Linked DNA regions of Pelodiscus sinensis. The protein of the gene in region 2 interacts with the protein of the main gene of each other region in a biochemical or structural test. Links are inferred from orthologs where the notes say so. Each region holds a gene or a part of one and is shown on either strand. Other genes may lie near its edges.

Region 1 (7,224 bases), on a different chromosome or scaffold from region 2:
CCGGAGGAGCCCCTGTCAGCAGCAGGCCCCCCCGCAGGGCTGAAGCAGCCCCCTACTTGTGGCAGGCAGGGAGCTGCTCCAGCCTCCACTGGTTAACATTAATCATAAGTTTCATCCCTAATTCCTACTCATCTTGGCTAATAGTCACTATCCTCCATAAAAGTATCTAGTTCTTGTCTGAACCCTGTTAAAATCCTAGTCTTCACAACATTCTCTGGCAAGGAGTTCCATGGGTTGACTGTATATACTGCATGAAGAAATAATTCTATTTGTTTGCTTTAGATCTGCTACCTATTAATTTTATTTGGTAAACCCTAGTTCTTGTGTTATGGGAGCAGGTAAATAATGTTTCCCTATTTAATTTCCTTACACTGGTCATGATTTTATAGACTTCCATGATCTTCTCCCCAGTTTCCTCTTTTCTAAGCTGAAAAGTCCCAGTTTTATTAATCTCTCCTCTTATGGCAGCCATTCCAAACTCCCATAGCCGCATTTGAGTTACTATGCCCACACTGGTGTTACATGCATGCTTATGTGTTGCTAGTAGTTTTAGGAAGGTATATCCAATGGTTCAGTGGTTCCCAACCTGTGGTCCGCAACAGTACTGCAAAGGGTCCATGGAAAGTTTAAAAAGAAGGATACTTTTTATTTTCTTTTTTCTCCCCCAGGGAGGGGAGTCAATGACATTTTAATAGACTGAAAAGAGGTCCATATGCTCAAAAAGGTTGGGAGCCACTGCAATAGTTCTTTGTGCTGTAGCAGGTTGAGTTGTCAAATGATTCTTTCCTAGTGAATTGTTGGAGAAGTGGTTTCTTTTTCTGGTCACAAGGAATAAACTGTTAGAACACCGGAAGTCTATCAGCATTCAAGTAGTTTACACTGTATCCTCACTGGCCACTCACTGGATACCAACCCCGGTGAAAGACTCTGGCTTTCGCCTAAGGTCCCAGAAGAGCCATTGAACTTGAACTGAAGGCATCACATAACTCTGCTCAGAAGCTTGTGTGTGGGGAGTGGCAGATGGTTAGAGGCAACACTTGAGTAAGAACACACATTAACTCTGCAGTTATGACATACTCTCAATGTTGCCTAGCACAAGTAGTTTAATTAAATCAAAGCTGCAGCTGCTTAGCACTTCTGAAAATCCACTTTTATTAAAGTGCCTGTCTTTAGGTATCCAAGTTTGAAAGTGTAGGTTTAAGTGACTTTCCTAAGGTTATACATTAAATCAAGCTAAGAAGAGAATAAACTCTAGATTTCCCAACTCACTGCACCATACTACCACCCCTTAAAATATCTGTATATACCCCAAGACTCTTATTGAAGAATGCATATGTTATCATTGTACCCAGAGACCCCATAAGGACCAGAAACCTGTTATGCTAATTTTTACACACAAAGATGCAAGGTCCCTGCCCCAAAAGTGAAAACTAACCTTCAACAAAACTTGCTCCTTCAGTGACATAGTCCAGCAGTTGGTTAAATATAGCAGTAATTGTCTTTTTAGCCAGCACAAAGTGTTTCAGGGGGGAGGCCATAGTTTCTGCCATTATGCAACTGAAAGAGAAATTACATCCAAATGACTGAAACACTTACTAGAAATAAGTAGAACACAACACATCAACTTCCCTTAATGAAGCAAGTAAAACATAAATTTTAAAAATGGATACACCAAGTTGAATGTTAGTTGAAATTAGTGTTACTGTTTTTTAAATTTTCTAATCTAGCAGCAACAGAAATGTCAAATTACAAAGGGATAAAATTGTAATTTCTAATATATTTTCTCTCCTGTCCTAGATAAAATACATAGATGAATTACTTTATCTGTTTACATAAAAACTCATATGCATACATACCAGAAAGCAAGTTATTAGATTTGGTTTGATACAGAATATTAAGTCAGCCCAGCAAATAATCATTTCAGGATGTTAGCGGAAACACTTTTTTAAACACCTTAGTTTGGTTCCACCTCACAGACCAGGTTATGTAGAAACAAGTTTAACTGGAACTGCATTTAAATACAGCATCTTAACTTTGTTCTGAGGCCTTGTAGCTACAGCCCAATAAATGAAAGACTAATTACATCACCAATCCAAGTCATCTAGCCTCCTAGACGCATGTATACCAGAACATTTTATATCCTTTTTTCCAACAAGAAAGAGATGAAAAAAAATCAGACCACATTTTCAAGGCATTTCCCCAGGTCCTTTTTCCCCTATGCTCAATAAATTAAATTTATTCATTGGCCAATTTATTCACAGGCCAGTTCACCTTGTCTCTCTAATGGGCCACTAAAAAAATAAAGTTCTAGGACTTAAAAATATAAAGGAGAAAGGTTTGACAAAGCTGCAAACTCAAGAGTCTCCTGCTTCGTTATTAACGAGGTGTAGAGTTAAACTTTTCTCGGCGGGGTTTGCCGCTCTGTGCAAAGGGCAGGATTGCCACACGATGAAAGTGACTAGCACAGCAAGGTAAGTGACTAGCTTCTCCCATGTGCCAGGGGAGGGGGGGGGGGGCGCGGCGGGACACGCCACCCCCCCCCGGGCCACGAACAATCTGCTTGCTGCTCACAGTAGCCCATCATGCCACCGGCCTCGAAAGAGGGTCGCTTCAGGAGCCGCCACCCTCCCTCAGCTGGGGGTGTTACACCAGGCTACGAGCCCGGGGCAGGGAGCCACGGACGCAGCCGCCCGCAACACCGGGACCGCAGAAAGGGGTGGGAGATGGAAGGGGTCCCTAGCGCCCCCCCCCCACAGGAAAATGACTGGTGGGGGGGGGGTCCTACGGCGCAGCCCCCGTGACCTCCCTGGCAGTTCGCCAGAGCCGCCCACAGCCTCTCTCTGCCCCGCGTCCCTATCACCTGCAGCGCCCCCGCCTCGTGCGCTCCCCCGTTACCCAGCAACTGCTGCGCGCTGCGGTTGGGGGAGGGGGGGGGCCGCCGCCGCCGCACCTCCTGCCTCTTCGCCCCGTTCGCGGGGGGGGAGGGGGAAGGAGGAGCTAGCAGCATCACTTCCGCTTCCTCTGCCCTTAGCGTACCCCCGCCGCAAGCAAGGTTCGCCATCTTTAACGAGGGCAGCCAAGCTGAAGACGACCGGAAATGAGCCCCCCCCCCCCCCCCCCGGGAGTCGCCATCTTTACTGAAGGAAAACTGCCTGCGAGAAAGTCTTACGCGCGACGCCATCTTCACTGAGGGCACGGAACAAGCCCGCCACAGCGGAATCTGGCTCTCAGCGCCATCTTTACTAAGGGCCCCAGGAGGCGATGGGAGCTCCCGTCTTTCTTTAAAATGGAGGCGAGTTACTCCACCACCGCTGCTTTTGTGGAAAAACTTTCCAGCTCTCTACACTGGCCGCTTGAATTTCCGCAAGAACACTGACGCTCTCATGTAAGATTGTCAGTGTTGTTGCGGAAATACTGGGCTGCTCCCGTTCACGCAAAAGCCCTCTTGGGCGAATGCTTTTGGGCAAGAGGGCCAGTGTAGACAACGGGTTATTGTTTTGTGCAAAAAAAGCCCCGATCGCAAAAATGGCAATCGGGGGTTTCTTGCGCAAAACCGCGTCTAGATTGGCACTAGTGCTTTTGCAGAAAAGCGTCTGTGCAGAATTCTGCTACAACGACCTTTTACATCTGCACTTGAAAGGGAATCCTCTGAACTGTCATTCATGTTAAAATTCGACACTTTCCAAAAAGGACTCAACAAACACTTGAACTATCTCACCCATTACCAAGATAGTTTCCCCAATTATCACCTCTAATACCATTAACTCACAAACATCCCACTCTCCCGACCTCTAATATCAATTCACAGACACTTACCTTCCTTCCTCCCCCCCCCCCCCCCGCATCCCCCTCCTGTTCTGCAATGTGATTTGTCCTTTTCATATTTGTTCATTTTTTTTAATTGTATCCTTTGGTATATATGGTTGTGACTACTTTCTTCCACTATTTGATCTGAGGAAGTGGGTCTGGCCCACGAAAGCTCATCATCTAATAAACCATCTTGTTAGTCTTTAAAGTGCTACATTGTCCTGCATTGTGCCAATGTAGACACTCTTTTCCGCAAATGCTTTTAGCAGAAAAACTTTTCCGTTAAAAGCATTTGGGAAAATCATGCCAGTCTAGACGTAGCCCTAGTGTTCTTTCTCCCTGCCTCCCCCAATGCCTGGAGAACAGCTGCAGCAGTATCCTTTTCTTACCCTTCATAGGCCTTTGGAGTAGGTGCACAGCTCTAGGGAGCTCTTCATGCCTTCTCCACTTCCCAGGCCTGGCACTGAAGAGATGGAGAGAGCAGAGTGAACCATTGCTCATGGAACCAAGAATGGGTGAAAAGAGGAAACATAGCTGCTCAGCCCTGGAGATACTAAGTACCCTCTCAAAGAATGGAGAAGAAAGGCAGCAGAAGGGTGGCAGTTGCTCCCTCTCTGTTCCCAAATATCTTCTTGGCTACTATAAGAGGTACATAAATGGGGTTTGGAGAAGACAGCCAGAGAAGTCTTCCTACAGGCAGAAATTAATTCCAGGAGAAGGTTAGACTTTCTGATGCCATCAGGAGATTGGTTTCAGCCCCAGAAGAAATAATTTTATCTGCAGAAATTATGGGAGCTGTTAACATTTGCACAGAGTTTAAGGCCAAAAGAGATTATTAGATGATCTACTCTGATCATCTGTATATCACGGGCCATTAAATTTCACCCAGTTACCCTTATACTGAGAAAGATAACTTGTCTGAATAAAGCATATCTTCAAGAATGTGATCTGAAGATATCAAGATGGCAAATCCACCATTTCTCTTTGTAATTTGTTTACATCATTAATCACCACCTCACTATTCCACAAGTGTAATTTATATGTCTGGCTTCAGCTTCAAGACATTGGTTCTTATGCTGCCTTCATCGGCTAGATTAAAGATCCTGTCACTATGTGCTATTTTCTCCCCCTGAAGATACTTATACCCTAATCAAATCACCTCAATCTTGTTTTTTGATAAATTAAACTGATTGAGCTCTCTACATCTCACTTATTTTTTCAAGCTTTTCAGTAATTTTGAGGCTCTCTTCTATTTTGTGCCTCTCCAATTTGTCAACATCTCTTTTAAAATATGGACACCAAAACTGGATTTGGTAATCCACTATCAACCATATCAGTGCCATATGTAGAGGTAAAATCTTCCTGCTCATTGCTCCCCTGATTTTACATGCAATGACCATATTGGCCCTTTTTGTCACTCTAGCTGATGAGGTGCTTGTTCACTATGATCCCTAAACCTTTCTCACTGTCTACAAAAATAGTCACCCATTCTGTAGGTATAGCCTGCATTCCTTGTTCCTAGGTGCTTAACTTTGTATTGAATGTATTTAAATGCATTTTCTCTGAATGAGTCTAAATTGCTATGCAATCCAAGCAACTGTGTTTGTAACAATGTTGCTGGAGGGTTGATTATAACACAAAAAGCAACAGGCAGCATTCAAAAATCTGTTGGTCAATTGAGACCATTGCCTATCATTAGGGTCCTATCAAATTCACAGTCTATTTTGGTTAATTTCAGTTGTAGGATTTTAAAATTTGTAAATTTCATGATTTCAGGTATTTAAATCTGAAAGGGCACAGTGGTTTAACAGTAGCGGCCCCAATCCAGATTTTTTTTTTTGAGGAAGTGATCTCAAGGTCATTATAGGGAGATTATATTACTTCTACACTGCTGCTGGTTACACCTCTGGACTTAGAGCTGGGTAGCTGGAGAGCAATGGCTACTGTCCTGGAGTGTAGCTCTGAAGGAAGCATCATCACTAGTAGCAGAGCAGAAGTAAGGGTGGCATGGTATGCGTGACAGCACAGTCGAGGTTCCCTTGGTCCTGCAGCCCCGTAGCAGCAAGAACAGACTCAACCAGCCAGTAGAATAGAGAGGGTTTATTGCTTCTCCAGGGTACAGCATTGCACAGATGTGATGTGGTTACAGGAGTCAAGGCCAGCATGCCTCAGATCCCTGAAGTTAGGGGGTCCATCTTTCCCCCCCCCCCCCAGACCCTCAGTCCTCAGCTTAGGTTGTTCCCTTAATGTTTTCCAGCCAGCAACTGACCCTTCCCCCGATACCTGATGATCATCTCTGCTTCCCTCCCTTTGTCTCTCCCCCTGGGAAGAGCTTTGCTAACTGCCCAGGCTGGTCCTAAGTGTCTGGGCCAATACACATGTGGGTGAGTCAGTGGAAATCACACATCACAGCGCAGGGGGGACACCAGGTTACAGAGCAGCCAGCACCCCCACGACATCACAGTATGGTATTGCCACAGTTACTTCTGAACTGCTGCTTGTGGGGTGCTGCTTTCAGAGCTGAGTGTCTGGCCAGAAGCCACTGCTCTATGACCACTCAACTCCAAAGGCAGTTCAAAAGTAAGGGTAACGATACCATGAGCCCCTTTTACAAGAATCTTGTGACCCTCCACAATTCCCTTTGGGTTGGGATCCCCAGTTTGAGAAACACTGAGGCTGTCTACACTGGTGGCATCTTGCACAAGGGTTCTTGTGCAAGAACTCTTGCGCAAGAAAATGTCCACACTGCCATGTGCAAGCTGTGCTTTTGCGCAAGAGTGCCCATGGCAGTGTGGACGCTCTTTTGCGCAAGAAAGCTCTGATGGCCATTTAAGCCATAGGGCTTTCTTGCGCAAGAAATCGCTGCTGAACGTCCACACTGCCCTCTTGCAAGAGCTCCTGCGCAAGAGGGCTTACACCTGTTAAAGAGCACAGCTCTTCTGCAAGAAGCCTTCTCTTACCACCCTGTACTGTAAATCTTCTTGCGTGAGAGCAGGCGGGCAATGTGGACTCTTTCCGGAAGAACGGCCATTATTGCGCAATAACCTGCCAGTGTAGACATAGCCTGACTTCCCCAATTAAATCTATATAGTATAGATTGAAATCTGTCTTTTGAGTAATTTTACAGTCCGTGATGTTTTTCACAGCCATGAATTTGATAGGGCCCTGCCTATCATATCATATATAATATTGTCTCTGAGTTTTTGTACTCCCCAGTCTGATTGTCTGTATCCACTTCTTGTCTCTCAATTAATACTCAGATTGTGAACACTTTGGGGTCATGAACCATCTTTTTGTTCTGTTTTTTACAGTGACATGGGGTACTGGTCCATGACACGGGTTCTTAGGAACTACGGTAATACAAGTAACTTTTTAAATAGAAAGTAAAAAGGAAAATGACTTGACAAATTATTTACT
Region 2 (7,172 bases):
ATATATTGTGCCTGGTCCTATATATTTACAATCTGACCCATTGGGTCACATCCATATGCCTATACAAAATATCACTGACATCAGTGGTACTCCTTATGAGTGCAGGGACCAACCAGATAGATCAAATTGCTGATCTGTAGTAATTTCTATTCAAAAGAAAATTTTCCACAAGAACACTATACTGTTAGAACATGATTCCTGTGTTTGTCAGGTTTGAAAAAACGATGTTTTACATACACACATATATATATTTAGCATCTGACAATTATTTTGAGACTTTCTTGATCAATTTATAAATGAGCCATATAAAGCTGATCAGTTTAAATTAAGATTTTCTGTCTTAATAGGTTATAGCCTATCTAAATTCGGGTCAGTAGGTATGTTGCATTAGCCACATGCAAATAAAATTGAAGACTGGTGCAGATTTAATCCTAACAGGAAGATTAGGGTTCAGTTCGTGCTCTATAATTCTTCATGCCACACAATCAGAAGCATATGACACTCAAGCCTTTCATTCCTTCAAAACTTTAAGTCACATATGCCTTTTAAAACTGTCTTATATTGACTTGCTAAAAAATTAAAGAAAATTTTAAAAAGAACACTAACTGCAGCTCTGTAAGCAAGTACTCTGATCTGAACTCTGTACAATTCATCAAGATATATAAATATTTGAGTCAGAAAACACTTCTTTCATTAAATCAAGTTTTCTTATAAATGCTCTCTACTGCATTAGAAAAAAAGGAACAGATATATGCAACTAGGCACAAATTGCAGTAGACACTGCATATAATATTCACATAGAATTAAAAAAATCACACCGTCATAAAGTTACACAACTTTCTTTTGCTTTTAGATGGTTTAAAGAGAACATCACACTAACATTCCAGAAACCATACATTAACAAGAAAGGAAAAATAACTTCTCGCTACAAAAATAATAGGGAATGTGCAGCAATTTCCCAAGAAATTCAGTTACAAAACTTTTAGAGGATCAATGTTTCATCAGTACATCAACTATAAAATTGAACATATTTAATTTTGATTAGATCTCAAATAGGAGACAAACACCCAATGAGAGAGGCAGAAAAAAGGTATTTAAAATCGGGGGATAGGAAGAAATCCTTCAAGCACAAACAACTTTATCTAGGACCTCAATGTTATGTTCTTCATCTGTAATTAACAAAATAAAAATTAAAGTGAAAAAGGAGGAGTATGTAAAAGGAAAAGTTTACAGTTTTTGAGACCATGTGGTAGCCTTTGTGATTTGTGGGGTCCACAATGAGGGAACAGGGATATTGGGGATTAACTACCTCTTCTTTCCAATACCAGAGGGAAATTTTGGCTAGTTGGATTACAAGGTCACGTGTTGTAATCTGCACAATACATGTTGTCAACTTTGAGGTAACTCTGGTCATTTCACCCAGTGCCCTCTTACCTCCCACCACTATCTGTGAAGCCCGAATGTAAGTTGATTCCTCAACTCCACTCCTGCTGTGTGAAGAGATAACAATGGCAGGGCAGGACTGCAAGAGACAACTACTCTCAGCCAGCATGAAGGCAATGGAAAGATCAAGATGAACCACGACTTAGCTGCCATCAAGATTTATAGAGACAAAATGGGCAAGGTAATTTATTAGTCAAATTTCTGTTGGTGAGATAGACAAGCTTATGAGCTGACACAAAGCTTCAATAAAAGATATTACCTCACCCATACTGTCTCTCCAATATCCTGGAACTTAATACAGATACAACACTGCATACAGTTAGATTTATAAGCAGACCACATGGTGAAAGAACAAAAGGGATACACTTGATTAAAAGATACAAATATTTCCTGGAAGGTCAAAAGAAAAAAAGTCATCAATATCACACTCTTTTTATGAGGACATATGCCAGTGCAAAGCTGATGTAAAACACTTTCAATCCCTTTCCATTGGGTTTCACACTTGCTTTGCATAAGTGTAGTACTCTGCAAAGGAGTGGAGAGTCCAGTCACTTATACTTTCACTTACCTGTGAAGCATATTAGGCACCAGGGGAGAAGGGGTCAACCTCCACTCTTCATCCTCTGCTCCCCCAGACTTCACCCACCACCTCCTCCAAACATGCCATATCCCTGTTCTCCTCCCTCCCCCCACCCCCACTATGAGCACCCCCACACTGCAAAAACAGCCTTCTGTGGCAGGCAGGTGTTAGGAGAGAGGGGGACAAGCTGGTCAACGGTCAATTTTTTTTCCCCTTGGGTGCACCAGTGCTAGTATGTCTTTGCCGTAAAGCACCATTATGTTGATATTGGCTAAATAAGAGATCAAGACTAGCAATATCTCGAGTCACAAACTAAGTGCATGCATATGTATTGTGCCTATAGTGCGTGTGTGCGGGGTACCCTGGCTGCATAGATGTACGTGTGCATGGTGTGAGAACCTACAGAGTGGCTGCATTATGTTGGGGAATGCATACACTACGGGGTGTTGCACGGAAGGGTGCGTACTCTACAGTGTGCGTGTTGCCATTCCTGCACGGTTGTCCTGCAATCTCTAGGAATTAAAGGGTTCATCTTTAATTAAATATTACGCCATGATGAGATACCAAAATTGGCAGCCCTGTTTGTGTGCGCGGGGGGGAAGGGAGTATTGGGGCGGGGGGTTGCACAGGGAGTGAACATGTTGCGCGCGGGGAGCGCAAGTAATTTCCTATGTCGGTAGCCGCGGGGCCAGGCCAGTGCTGGCAACAGGCGGGTGGAGCAGGTGGCCACGAGCCGGGGGGGGGGGGGGGGGGGGGGGTCCCGGGCCCAGGCTGCTGCGCCACAGGCTCGGTGGGACTGGCTCGCGAATAGATTGTGTGGGGGGCGGAGGAACCGCTGGCTGCATCCGGGTCTCACTCACTCACCTATCATGGCCACGATGGGGGGGGAGGGAGGAGGGCGCGCGCACGCCCCCGTCCCGTCCGCGCTCGCAGCTCAAATTCTCGCCTTCAGCACGGGACTGAAGACGCAAACTGCGGGGCGGGCCGGTGGGACGGGCTGGGCCGTACTGCGCATGCGGAAACTTGGCGCGTGCCCCGCTGAGCGCAGTAGCCCTCTGGGTAGTGTAGTTCTCCTGTGCGCCCGCGCTTTCTTACTGTCGCCAGGGCTGGGGTGCGTGATCGGCGCGATTTCCTTTCCCCCTCTCCCCTTCCCCTCTCGCCCCGCCCACCTTCCTCACGTGACCGCAAACAGAAACCGGGCAGGTTGTTGACACGTTGCTTAGCAACCGTGAGGCGTCCCTAGAAGCGTGTCGGTGTTAGCAACAAAGCGTGTCAGTGGCCCAGCCCCCCCGACCCTACCTAGGCGATAGCAGGGGGTGAGAAAAGGCAGCAGGGGCAGGGGGCCAGGAAGGGGCAGCCGAGCGTGAGGTTGATTTTATTTTCCAATGTATTCTTTTAGCCTGTATTGTGATTCCTGTTTTCCACAGAGGTGCCTGGGGAGATGGTGGCAGAGAAGGAGGATTCGAGCCCCCCCAAGCTGCCTGCAGAGAGACCCCAACAACAGCAGCAGCCACTAGGCCAGGCGAGGAGAGCCAAGCAGCAGGTCACCGATGGATTCACGGTTAAAGCCATGATGAAAAACACTGTGGTACGTCTGCTGCCAATAAAGAGGCTTTACATTCATTTAGTCTCATCTGCCTGTGAAGCATGTTAAGAGGCGGTGGGTGGGTGGAAGGGGGACTGTGACTGCCAGAAAGTATGTAGGGTTGGTATGATTTTGTCTGGGGTTATGCAAATAGCATTCAGGCCTTGAGGAAATGTCAGCTTGAAGTAAGGGCGGTGTCTCAGGCTATTGCCATGCCTCTTGTTAAAATGTGTCAGTTTTGTGTCACCATATTGTTATATATTGCATAATCCAATTATATATTGATTTAAAGGCCCACCTATCATGGAGTTATGTCCAAACATAATTATGCTGTACATTATTAAAATATTACCATTTCATACCATGGCACTGTGTCAAATATGGTGAAATTATGACATACATATCACATTATCTGGGGAAAGTTTCTCTTTGCAAAGGAGACAGTCCTTAAATTCTCAGCTGAAAAAATGATTATAAGCACATATTTTTAATTAAAGGAAAACCTATACAAGGTGGTAAGATAAAAGAGTTGAATGTCATTATTTAATCCTGAAAACATGAAAAATATAGCATTTAAAAAAAGTCCAACAATAATCATGAAATATCTTTCACACAGTATTAGTAAATACTGTCTTGAAAATAAACATTCTTTTTTTGTGGATAGCCTTTTAACATGAGGCGGTCAAATAGGGGTTGATCCATCAATCTTTACTTTCACTAACACTTCTGCCATGAGTAATAATTGTGATATCCCATCCTGTCTTTATAGTGAACCTTTCCGACAATAATTGTTGTAATTGATTGCTTCCATTAAATGTAATAAATAAACCCCAAAGCTTGTGGTAATGCAGAATGCAGCTGCTCAGTTACTGAGTGGAAAGTGCTGTTATGGGCACACAACATCTGTGCTCAAATCTCTGTATTGGCTTTTTGTTTGCTTTTGGGTACAATTCAAGGTGTTGGCAACAGTCTCTTGCTTTATCCCTCACTCTCTCTTTAACTGCATATATGTTCCTGATAATAGTTACAAAATGCATGAAAAGAATCCCTAGAAACTGATCTGACCTGGCTCTGGAATTCATTACATATGTCAACATTTAGAAGGAAAAGAAACGAACAGTCTATCTAAATATAATGTAATCTGTAAAATGTATTTGAGAAATAACATTTCCCCCTTTTATAGGTTCCAATTGGGCTAAAAGCCAACAATAATTAAGTGCAAAACCCATCCCAGCATTGACCTATTATCACGTAATAATAAAAACACAATGTTTATTATTTAATGTTAGCAGCCAAATCACTCACGCCCAGATGCTTAACTTTATGCAGGTGCATAATAAAATTAACTTCAATAAGATTATTCATAGAACATAATTATTTTATGCATAAAACTTTGCCTCAATCAAGCCTTAAAGACACAAAACATGAAAGGTAAGAAACAGGGACATAACATAAAGCAAGCATATGAACAGTCAACAAACTTGAACCGTAATCTGAAATTAGTGATCAGTATATAGAGAACTGTTTGTTTTGTTTCTTTGTTTATTACTGCTTTTAATTCACAAAGTCTCCAGTCAGGATTTGGGCTCCGTGGAAACACAAAGAACTATATCATCACCATTCTGAAGCGCTTAGAACTAGAATTGATGCTCTACCACAGCTGAAATATGGGAATCCTCTCTTTCAAATGGCATAGAACATTTATCTCTAACCCTGAGGTTCATGAGTCCTCGATTTAGAAGCCATCAGTATGTATTTCCTAGATCATAACATTGTGTTTTTCTAATAGCTCTCATATCTACAATATATGCTAGTGAGTGACAGGCCCTCATGTCCAAAACCTAATTCTTACATTTTCACAAAAGCAAGCTGGTCTTTGATGCTTGTTTCAAATTTGTTCTGGATTTTCACTTAAATCAGCCTCTTACTTTGATAATCTGCAATTACATTCATCCCACATACTCCGTAAAATGAACATTAGACAGTTTCTGTCCTTTTATTTGGACAGGTCATAGATCTTTTGTGAGTCCTATTTTCTCTTCTTGATTTCTGGGAATAAGTTTAGTGGCATTTCCATCCTTCAAATTGTTGGATAATTATTGGCTGCAAATGCACAGACATGAGTTCATGAGACAATTTTCTCTATTTATACCTCTGCTGGAGTGTTACATAAAGTTCTGACTGTCTTTGGTCAGATCCACAAAAAGACTTTGGTATTGCAATGCTGAATATTGCATCACCTAATGTTTTATGTGCTCAGATAATTCAGGAACACCACTGTGATCCACAAACCCTGAGGTTAGTGTAGAACAGGGCTGCATAAAATATGGCTCACGGGCCAGATTCAGCCTACTGAGCCACGGGATCTGGCCTGCGGACGCAGCAGGGAGCCCCAGGCAGGCTCCCTAATTGCCTCGCCCCACCCACACTCCACTCAGAAAAGCAGCTGTCGGGACATTTCTCTGTCACCACTGTGAGCTGTTTCTGGCCAGTGAAAGCTGCCTGTTTGAAAAACAGGCAGCACACAAAGAACTACACCTCCCTCCCCTATGGCTTGTAATTATTCTCACACACACACACACACACACACACACACACACACGGGAAGCTGCATCAGAAATGTGCTGGGCTGCTGGCCCAGAGTCACCCAAGTAAGTCTCCCAGCCAGAACCTGTTTCTGGCACCCCAGCCCCTCCCTCCCCCAACCTTGTGCCCACCACTCCTGCCTCCCCTACCCCATATAACCCGAACTGTCTGCCCCTCTCCTGCACCCATACTCCCTCCCAGAACCTGCACCACAGCCCTCTACCCCAGGTAACAAACCCCTTCTCCCCTAGGTCACATCCCAAACCCCAGCACCCCAGTCCCCTGCCTGGATCAAAACCCAAATCCTTACACCCCAGTTCACAACCTCTTCCTGTCCTATGTCACAATCCGAACCCTTCCACCACAGTCCAGTGCCCCAGATCACAACTGTTTCCTTCACCCAAGCTCCCTCCTAGATCCCACATTCTCTCCAATCCCTTACCCCAATCTCCCTTCTGCACCCAACTTCCATCCCAGACCCCGCACCTCCTCCATTAATATCATGGAAGAGTGCAGCCTTTGACCACTTTCCAGAATCTTGGAGTGGCCCCCCATCAAAAATTATTGCCCACCCCTAGTAAATAGGTTCCCTATACAATTAATGGGAAGAGGTAGGAGCCTAAGAATGTGATACACAAAAGTTAATTTGCTAGGCAGGGAACTGCCTAGCTAGCTATAGGCAGATACTAACTAAAAAGTTGTATACTAAGCCCCTTTCCTCTCATGGAGATAGACACCCTAAGTGCAGGCTGCACAAAGGCATCTAGCTTCATTTGGCCATCCACAAATGGGAGCCCATCTCCTGAAGTCAGGAAGTTTAAATGTTGACACTATTTTTTGCAGAAATAAGTGAGATGTCTGTGTAGTGCCATACAAAACAGCCAGAGAAGGTGGTGCTCGCCGTGTAACTTTTAGCCCAGTGGTTGGAGCACTCACCTGGGATGTGGAGATCCATGTTTAAGTGCCTTCACTACTAGA
Region 3 (7,993 bases), on a different chromosome or scaffold from region 2:
GGGACTGGCCTATTATGACCACCAACAACACTGGACACTATAAAGAGCATAGGGCCAGATTTTCAGAAGTGCTCAGCAACCAACAGCTCCCAATGTGACATTTACAGTCAAGCTGCGTCTAGACTGGCATGATTTTGAGCAAAAGTGGCCAATTTTGCGCAAAATCTTGCCGCCTGTCTACACTGGCCACGACTATTTGTGCAAGAACACTGACTTTGTAATGTACAAAATCAGTGGTTATTGCGCAAATACTCCGACGCTCCTGCTCAGGTATAAGCCCTCTTGAGCAGCCTCAGAGTTTTAAGAGTTCTGCATCCCATACACCCTCATTGCACTGAGCTCTCTTCAGCATACAGAGTGCCTCTTGTAGGTGCAGAGTTCTTTTGACAACCTGCCTCTATAGAACTTGAAGAGGAAGTTCACCAAAGATGCTGATGAATTCCTTTACTCACCTATAGCCAGAATGCCTCCTTTCCTTTCATTCGCATCAGAACTAGAGACCAGTTCAAATATGTGGTGATTCAACTGATCGTAGAAACGAGTGGATTCCTCTTGGCTCATCTGCACAGGAAAGGAATTCAGACCGATTTATAATCCCTTTTCCACTACCTGTGCCCCAGATGAAGAAGGGCAACAACACTTTCCAGGCTCCCAAATTCAAAGGCAGCTCTTACTACATTTAAAATACAGAGCTGTACAGGTCCCACAGCCGGCCCGAGCCGGGACTGCTCAGTCCCAGCTTGCACCAGCTCTGGGATCTACCCCCAGAGACAGCGGGGCTGGGGTGTGGGGGTGGGTGTGGATAGCGAATAGTCAAGTAGTCACTTAAATAGTCACTTACATCCCTACTAGTGACACCTCTCATTCCCCAGCCAAATAATACAAACATATCTCCTCAGCTAAATGCTGCTGTTTCCACATCTACAGCACTTAACTAGTCACTTACATCCCTACTGGTGACACCTCTCATTCCCCAGCCACATAATACAAACATATCTCCCCAGCTAAATGCTGCTGCTTCCACATCTACAGCACTTACCTCACGGAGCTCCATGGTGACATAATGCTGCAAGTCCTTGGCGGCTTTTGCCCTGATTTCTTCATTGCGGCTCTTCAGGCCGCTGGCAAAGTGCTGAAGGATGGACACGGTGCCCGACATGGTGGTGATGAGTCAGGGCTTGGGGCATCAAGTCCGGTGGACCTTTTATACAGAAAACCTATTTTTTGCTTTTGCAGAAGCCAATTATAGCTCCCTCCACCACACTGCTCCAAATTACTGCTCCCAAATACACATGCCATGAGACACAGTGGGCTCTCAGATGCCACAGTAACTACAAAGATTCCATGAGATCCATGACAGAGGTACAGGCTCTCACATTTCACAGACCTTGGTAGGGCTCCAGAGTTCACTTAAGTCTCACCAAGATCTGTGGAATCTAAGAGTCTGTACCCTGGCCACTAAGTCCTTCACTAGGTTGCTAAGTCCTTCAGTGCATCCTACAGAAGCAGGTCGGAGCTTAACCTCCCTTACTCCCCCAGTCTCATCCCAAACCATTCATGCTCACATGTGACATGCTCAAATCAAATCCACGCCCAAATATACACACTGGGCTGTGCTTCCGAGGTGTTCCCAGTCATGCAAAGTTACAAGGAGGATAAGGACCGCTTGGCATGCATGTCAATATTATTGTTACTCTAATTTGCTCCTCTATGTTGCCTTTCATCCAAGAACAGAAAATTCTTTACAAACACAGTCAAACCCCAATGTATATTTATAGGCCGAGAATCTGTTCATGCCAGCAACCATCATTGTAATGCAGTGGTGGGCAACATGAAGTGAGGTACATGCTGTTTGCATACAACATTGACTGCAAGAGCCGAGTGTTCCTGTTGCATCCAATCAAAGCACTGCTACGGTTCAATTGGCTCACCCTGAAAGTTCTAGGCATGCAAGCAGAGTTAGCAAAACTACCTTAACCTGGGAGACCACCGTGGTTATGTTAATTCTGCAGCCCGCTAAGATGCAGGCTGGAGATTCATGCAGCCCGCTCGCTAAATAGATCGCCCATCACTGCTTTAATGGGATGTTTAATATTGTGCATGTCTGGAAACCATGGTGATAGGTGCATTTTTTTTTTTTGCAAAGGTTAAAAATACACTTTTTAAGAAAGGGGGAAACCGGTCACAGACTTTACTACTGGGCAAACAGCAAATGAGTAGCAGAACTAGGGTCAGACCCTTAAGGAGCCCTGGGTCCCTATTCCTCACTAGCTACTGGACAACCCTGCGTCGTTAAAATCCTCGGGTACAGCAGATGCCTCTGAGTCTAGTGTGGAATCTTTCCAGCTACCAGCATCCCCCCAGGCCAGGGCCGGCTCCCGTGCTCGGACCCAGGCTGGAGGAGCAGCCCAGAGAGGCGCCCTCTTCTCCGGAGAGAGAAATGCACGAGGGGTGGACGCAGCCTGCCTAGCGAGGGCCAACCAGGCCTAGGATCCGGGCCCAGAGCCAAGGGCAGCGGCCTTGCCCGCATGAGCGGGGGGCTCAGACCCGGCCGCTCCCCGAGGGGCGAGGGGGAAGCCGGCGCAGCTCCAAGGCCACGGTCCCAGCCCCGGCGGCAGCAGAGCGGGGAGGCCCCGGGGGGGGGGGGGGGCTACCAGCTCCGGGCATCTCCCGTGCTGCGGGGCGGGCCCCTGCCAGCAGCCCCCAGGGCAGCGCCCCGGCCCCGCTGACAGGGCTCCGGCTGCTGGACGCCTGCGCCAGCCGGCCGGGCGGTGGGGGAGGGGAGGCAGCCCCCGCAGTCCGGCGTTGGGGGGAGGGGGATGACTTCCCAGCTCCGGATCGGGGCCCCCCTCACTCACCGCCTCCACCCGGCCCAGCCGCGACCGGCTCCCCAGCTTGGGCCCCGGGTTTCCCCTCCCCCCCACTGCTGCCGCCGGCCCGGCGAAAAACCGCCAGCCAATCGGCGTTGAGGGGACTGTAACTAGCAGGTGGCCCAGCCAATAGTTTTGCGGGGCAGGAGGGTTTACTAGGCGGCTCGTGGTTCCACCCCTTCCAAAAAAAAAACCCGCTGGAGGCGGGTGGAGTTACTTCTGGCCAATCAAAGGGCAGAGAGTGATAGACTGACATTTAGATTCACCAATGGTCAGCGAGAGGCCGCGTAATTGGTTAGAATTCAGAGTTTGCCCCCGTCTTTGGAAAGCCGCCTTGCTTCCGCCCTTTCTGAAGCGATACAGGTTTGTGCGCAAGCGGAAAAGGCGCCGCATCGGCCCTTTTTCTAAGCGTGGAGACTGTAGGAGTCTTCCGCCGCGTGAACCCTTTTATCCCCCGCTGTCAGCGTCTCTACTGTTCTGGGTGCAGCCATGAAATGAGTCCCCCCCGAAGAGCGCTCTGTTCCCGTAATGACGCGTGTAGAAGCCAGCCGCGTTTGTGACACGTAGAATAGCGAATAGGTACAATGATAATCCGCACAGAGCGTTTAATAGCCATGATCTACTGCTAATGTTAATGGGGAAGTGTTCAAATAAACAGGCTTGTTATTGTTACCCATGAACAGATGTGGATGCTCCGTAATAGTTCATAATAATGGTTAATAACTTAATAAATGTGGCAGGTATTAACGTCCTACGCTTTTCCTCTATCACTTATTACCAGTTTATTTGAGTATTTCCCGCATATTACTCTCTCTGGATTGTTATCCCGGGTTTTGCAGATTGGGAAAATTGAGGCTTGGAGAGGTTAAGGCTCTGATCTTGCAAACAATGGCCCAGGTAGACTGTTCCGCCTGCATGGGCCTGTGTGTGCATGCAGCATCACAAGCACCAGTGTGCAGCGCTGGGCATAGGGAAGTCTCTATAGTCTCTAGCTAAAGAATGGAAATGGGGTTGCAAGGGTCAACCCTCAGCTCTGCTAGGGACTGGCTGAGTGACGCCAAGGAAGGGGTTTCACCTAACTATGCCACCTCGCCCCTGCGAGAAGGCACCCCCCCCATTGAGTTACTAACAGTGTGGGTGGGGCTCTTCCCCCATCCTTCCCCCTCCTCAGGCCCTGAGTTGCCCTCAGAGCAAGCGGAACCTCGGTAAGCGGTGCCCTTGTTTCTGGAGGGGCCGGCCTGGCTGGTGCACACGTAGCACCTCCGGGTGGTTGCCGTGGTCCCGAGTGCCCGGCCTGCTCGTGAGCGGAGAGGCCTGTCGGGGACCTGGCTCTGCAACAGGCGAGGGGGCCCTGGAGCCACCCTAAGCCCCGTAAGTCGGGGAAGCAAGCTCAGCCCCGCCCCGGGTTCGGAGCTGCCTCCCCGGCGCCTCACCCGGGCTGCGCCCCTGCCCCTGGGGCCTTTTCTTCCTCCCGCAGGGGACACGGAGGTCGGGGAAATGGGCTGCGGGGGCCGAGGCGCCGCACGTGGAGGTGAAAGCCACGGGAGGACCCGGCTTCTCCCTTGTGGTGCCCAGCATGGGATGGGCCCTGCCACTCGCTCTCTGTGCTGCTGTGGGCAGAGGTTCACATTGCGGGCGGACTCCCCCACGGCCTGGCAGCTCCCCCCCGGGTTGTGTGCCACCGTTGAGCCACCGGAGAAGCCGGTTTCCTTTTTAGGCTACAGTTACTAATGCAAACTCTCCTGGCTTTCCCAGGTCTCTGTCCAGCACCTTCTCTTGAAGCAGCTGCGTGAAGAGCATGGAGTCTGAGGATCAGACAGAGAAGATTAGCATCAGTGCTGAGAGCCCTAGAAGTGTTGACCTGGGGGAGCTGGGTGTAGGGCTGCTAAGCTCTGAGAAGAGCCATCCAGGCACCTGGAGGCAGAAATGTGCAGCCTATGTCCTGGCCCTGCGGCCCTGGAGCTTCAGTGCCTCTCTGACTCCTGTAGCTCTGGGCAGTGCCCTAGCCTATCGGTCCCAAGGATCCCTAGACCCAGGGCTGCTAGTGGGCAGTGCAGTGGCTGTCCTGGCTGTGCATGGAGCAGGCAACTTGGTTAATACCTACTATGACTTCTCAAAGGGTATTGACCACAAGAAGAGTGATGACCGGACATTGGTGGACCAGATCTTGGAGCCTCAGGATGTGGTTCGATTTGGGGTCTTCCTCTATACTCTGGGCTGTGTCTGTGCTGCCTGCCTCTACTGTCTCTCTACTCTCAAGCTGGAGCACCTGGCCCTGATTTACTTTGGTGGACTTTCCAGCTCTTTCCTTTATACTGGAGGTAAGGGTTGTACTCCATACTCTTAAGTCTCTGCAGAAATTGTGTGTGAAATGTATATCTGGTGTATGTCAGCTGGTTTGATTAATTATTTATGCTCTCTTCTCCATGGAGGGAGCCCAATGTGTACTATCAGTAGGGTTTGTTATTTGTTATTGGCCAGATCTAATTTCAAATGAAAAGTAAACTTAAGATATTTTTAAGGGACATTTCAAGATAAAAAAAGTTGATTTTGCCTCATCAGTTAAGCTATCTGGTAGATGAAGAGACATACCCTGTGTTTTGCTATAAGTAAGATTAGTTTCTAGGATTCACAAACTATCATTTGGAAGATGTAGCAGCTGTTACTCTACTCTCATTGTTGCATCAGCTCATGGACAGATTCTATCTGTATTCACATTGGGTAGCACTGTACTTCATGTGTAATCCCTTTGACTTCAGTAGGACTGCTTGTGGAATAAGGTATTCCAGATGGATAACTGGAATCTGCCCCTTAATCTTTGCTCACTGGTTGAGACTGGAAATTGCAAAAATTGTATTTGCTTTATTATCTTTGGAAAGGGTAAAGGATAATCAATTCTGGGGCAATAAAAGAACGTGTGTAGCCCTGCCCTAGCTGTGTATTGGCTTTTACAGCAATTTTTAGGAGCTGATCTGTTTAAGAAACATCTGTTGTTCTCTGTAAAGTAAATTTTACTTGGTAACACTTGACACTTGTTTTCATCTTGTTTATTGCCACAGGAATTGGATTTAAATATGTTGCACTTGGCGACTTGGTGATCCTCATCACGTTTGGACCCCTGGCTGTTATGTTTGCCCATGCCGTGCAGGTTGGCTATCTGTCTGTCTCACCGCTGCTCTATGCTATCCCACTAGCCCTCAGCACGGAGGCCATCCTGCACAGCAACAACACTCGGGACATGGAATCTGACCAGCAAGCAGGCATTGTCACCCTGGCTATCCTCATTGGCCCCATGTTCTCCTACATGCTCTACAACACACTACTCTTCCTGCCCTACCTGATTTTTTGCGTCTTGGCCACACGCTATACCATCAGCATGGCACTACCACTACTTACCATTCCTATGGCCTTTTCGCTGGAGAGGCAGTTCCGGAGCCAGAGTTTCAGCAAACTTCCCCAGCGGACAGCCAAGCTCAATCTCCTGCTGGGGCTCTTCTATGTTTTTGGTATTCTGCTGGCACCACCAGGCACACTGCCCAAACTGTAACAGCTAGCGCTGCCTCGTGGCTTCAGTGTTAATGGCAGATCTCGGTTGGAAGTCGGAGGTTTGTTGTGGATGGTGGCCAGAGCAAGAAGGCTAGCTCAAGGCAGTGACCCCATGTGAATATTGTGGGCTTTGGTCTTGTTGAGATAAACGGTTTCTCTCGTACTAGAGACTTCTAATGGTGTCTTGGAGAAGAGTTGAATTGACAACATGGGTCTTGTTTTCTCTTGGTGCTTATTGCAGTTCACCCTGAGAGCAGACAGATGTTTCAAGGACTTGCTGCTGCTGTCATTGAATTCAAAGGAACTTAACTTCAATGAGAGCAGGGCTGAGCTTCAAGTTTGAACTCTTCCTTCCCCTCCCAGGCACATTGAACCTTGATCTGTGAGTCATCCCCTCCCAACATGAAGCAAAGATTCAGTAGCTCCACTTCTACACTGTGCCACATGCAAATTGCCACTCAAAGCTTTAACTTGGTCAGCATTGCAATAAAGCAGATGCTGTTACTTCACTCCCTTCATTATAAATCTTCATCTCCACCACCCGGACTGTTTTCTCCCCCCCCCCCAATTTCTGCTTAATCTTGATCTTGTATTTCCTAGTCTCATAGCAATGTGAAATAGGGCATGTGTATCCATCCAGAACTGCTGATTTATGGAAGACAGCAGTTTCTCATGCTCCCACTGCCAGATCTGCCAGTGCCTTTCTACCTAGGCATTTCTAAAGTATCCATTGCTGTGGTATATAGGTGCTGAAATGGAATATAACTGCTCCATTGCACTGAGCTTAAAGCCAAAAGTGAACTTCCACTCCCTCTTTAAGTAGCTAGGGGTCAGAAGTGCAAGTTATGCAGCTAAGAAGCTTATAAACACTTGGTGAGATGAAAAGTTCTCTTCTTGATGTTATGTTAGTCTCGTGCTCAGACCCTTCTGCCTAAGATGAAAAAGTCTTGGTGTTTAACCCCCCCCCCAAAACTGTCAGGCAGGGTAACAAAGCTCTGTAGACAGTTGGATATTGACTAACAGACACATGTTGTAGTTGCAAGTCTCTAGTAGCAAAGTGTTTTTTGTCATTCTCCATATCTGTCATCTACTTAAAGTTGCTTGTCATCCTATTGTAAGGCAAGCTGGAGGCAGCAAGGGAGAATGATGGGGGCATTGCAGGAAGGAGTCTAAATTTCTGCAGTGACTTTGTACAGAAATCAGGAGAGTACATTATTCTTGCTGATAGATTCTTCTTCTCTTTTCCAGTGTGGGGGGGAGCAATGTTTTGATGATGCTCCTGTGATTCACTGGTCAGTTTTGAAGTTCTAGATCACTCTGTAGGATTGTGTCTTTCTAGATATTCTACTTGCATATTGTGCCACTTCCACCCCTGTTGTCCTGTAACGGTACTAATGTAGCCCTGTGCATGAATGTTATTTTACACAACATATAATGATATGAAACACACAGTGCCAAGTACAGCTTGGAGACACTCTATTGATTTTATTAAGGCACAACAGAGTGTATTTGACTCTCACATTTTCCCATGGTCACTGAACCCTGTTCTTCATTGGGAAATATTATTTGTTCTCTGC

The links. The genes of interacting proteins can lie anywhere in the genome.
Region 1: of the proteins of PRKN (region 2) and MFN1, one has a biochemical effect on the other in vitro, tested with the Homo sapiens proteins (3 studies listed by BioGRID). The link is inferred for Pelodiscus sinensis from reciprocal best matches to the Homo sapiens genes PRKN and MFN1.
Region 3: of the proteins of PRKN (region 2) and MTOR, one has a biochemical effect on the other in vitro, tested with the Homo sapiens proteins (2 studies listed by BioGRID). The link is inferred for Pelodiscus sinensis from reciprocal best matches to the Homo sapiens genes PRKN and MTOR.

What each region holds. Positions count from the first base shown.
Region 1 is NC_134720.1:44,552,901-44,560,124, reverse strand, and holds the start of MFN1 (mitofusin-1), read right to left. Parts: upstream 3,011-7,224; 5' UTR 2,896-3,010; exon of another isoform or gene 2,861-2,895; intron 2,475-2,860; exon of another isoform or gene 1,857-2,474; intron 1,558-1,856; 5' UTR 1,551-1,557; coding exon 1,436-1,550; intron 1-1,435. UniProt on the Homo sapiens protein: Mitochondrial outer membrane GTPase that mediates mitochondrial clustering and fusion. Membrane clustering requires GTPase activity. It may involve a major rearrangement of the coiled coil domains.
Region 2 is NC_134713.1:115,480,151-115,487,322, forward strand, and holds the start of PRKN (E3 ubiquitin-protein ligase parkin), read right to left. Parts: upstream 3,021-7,172; 5' UTR 2,895-3,020; coding exon 2,888-2,894; intron 1-2,887. Other genes in the region: PACRG (parkin coregulated gene protein), read left to right, coding at 3,465-3,611. UniProt on the Homo sapiens protein: Functions within a multiprotein E3 ubiquitin ligase complex, catalyzing the covalent attachment of ubiquitin moieties onto substrate proteins. Substrates include SYT11 and VDAC1.
Region 3 is NC_134733.1:11,465,641-11,473,633, reverse strand, and holds the start of MTOR (serine/threonine-protein kinase mTOR), read right to left. Parts: upstream 3,011-7,993; 5' UTR 2,859-3,010; intron 1,202-2,858; 5' UTR 1,160-1,201; coding exon 1,040-1,159; intron 562-1,039; coding exon 453-561; intron 1-452. Other genes in the region: UBIAD1 (ubiA prenyltransferase domain-containing protein 1), read left to right, coding at 4,669-5,191, 5,930-6,417. UniProt on the Homo sapiens protein: Serine/threonine protein kinase which is a central regulator of cellular metabolism, growth and survival in response to hormones, growth factors, nutrients, energy and stress signals.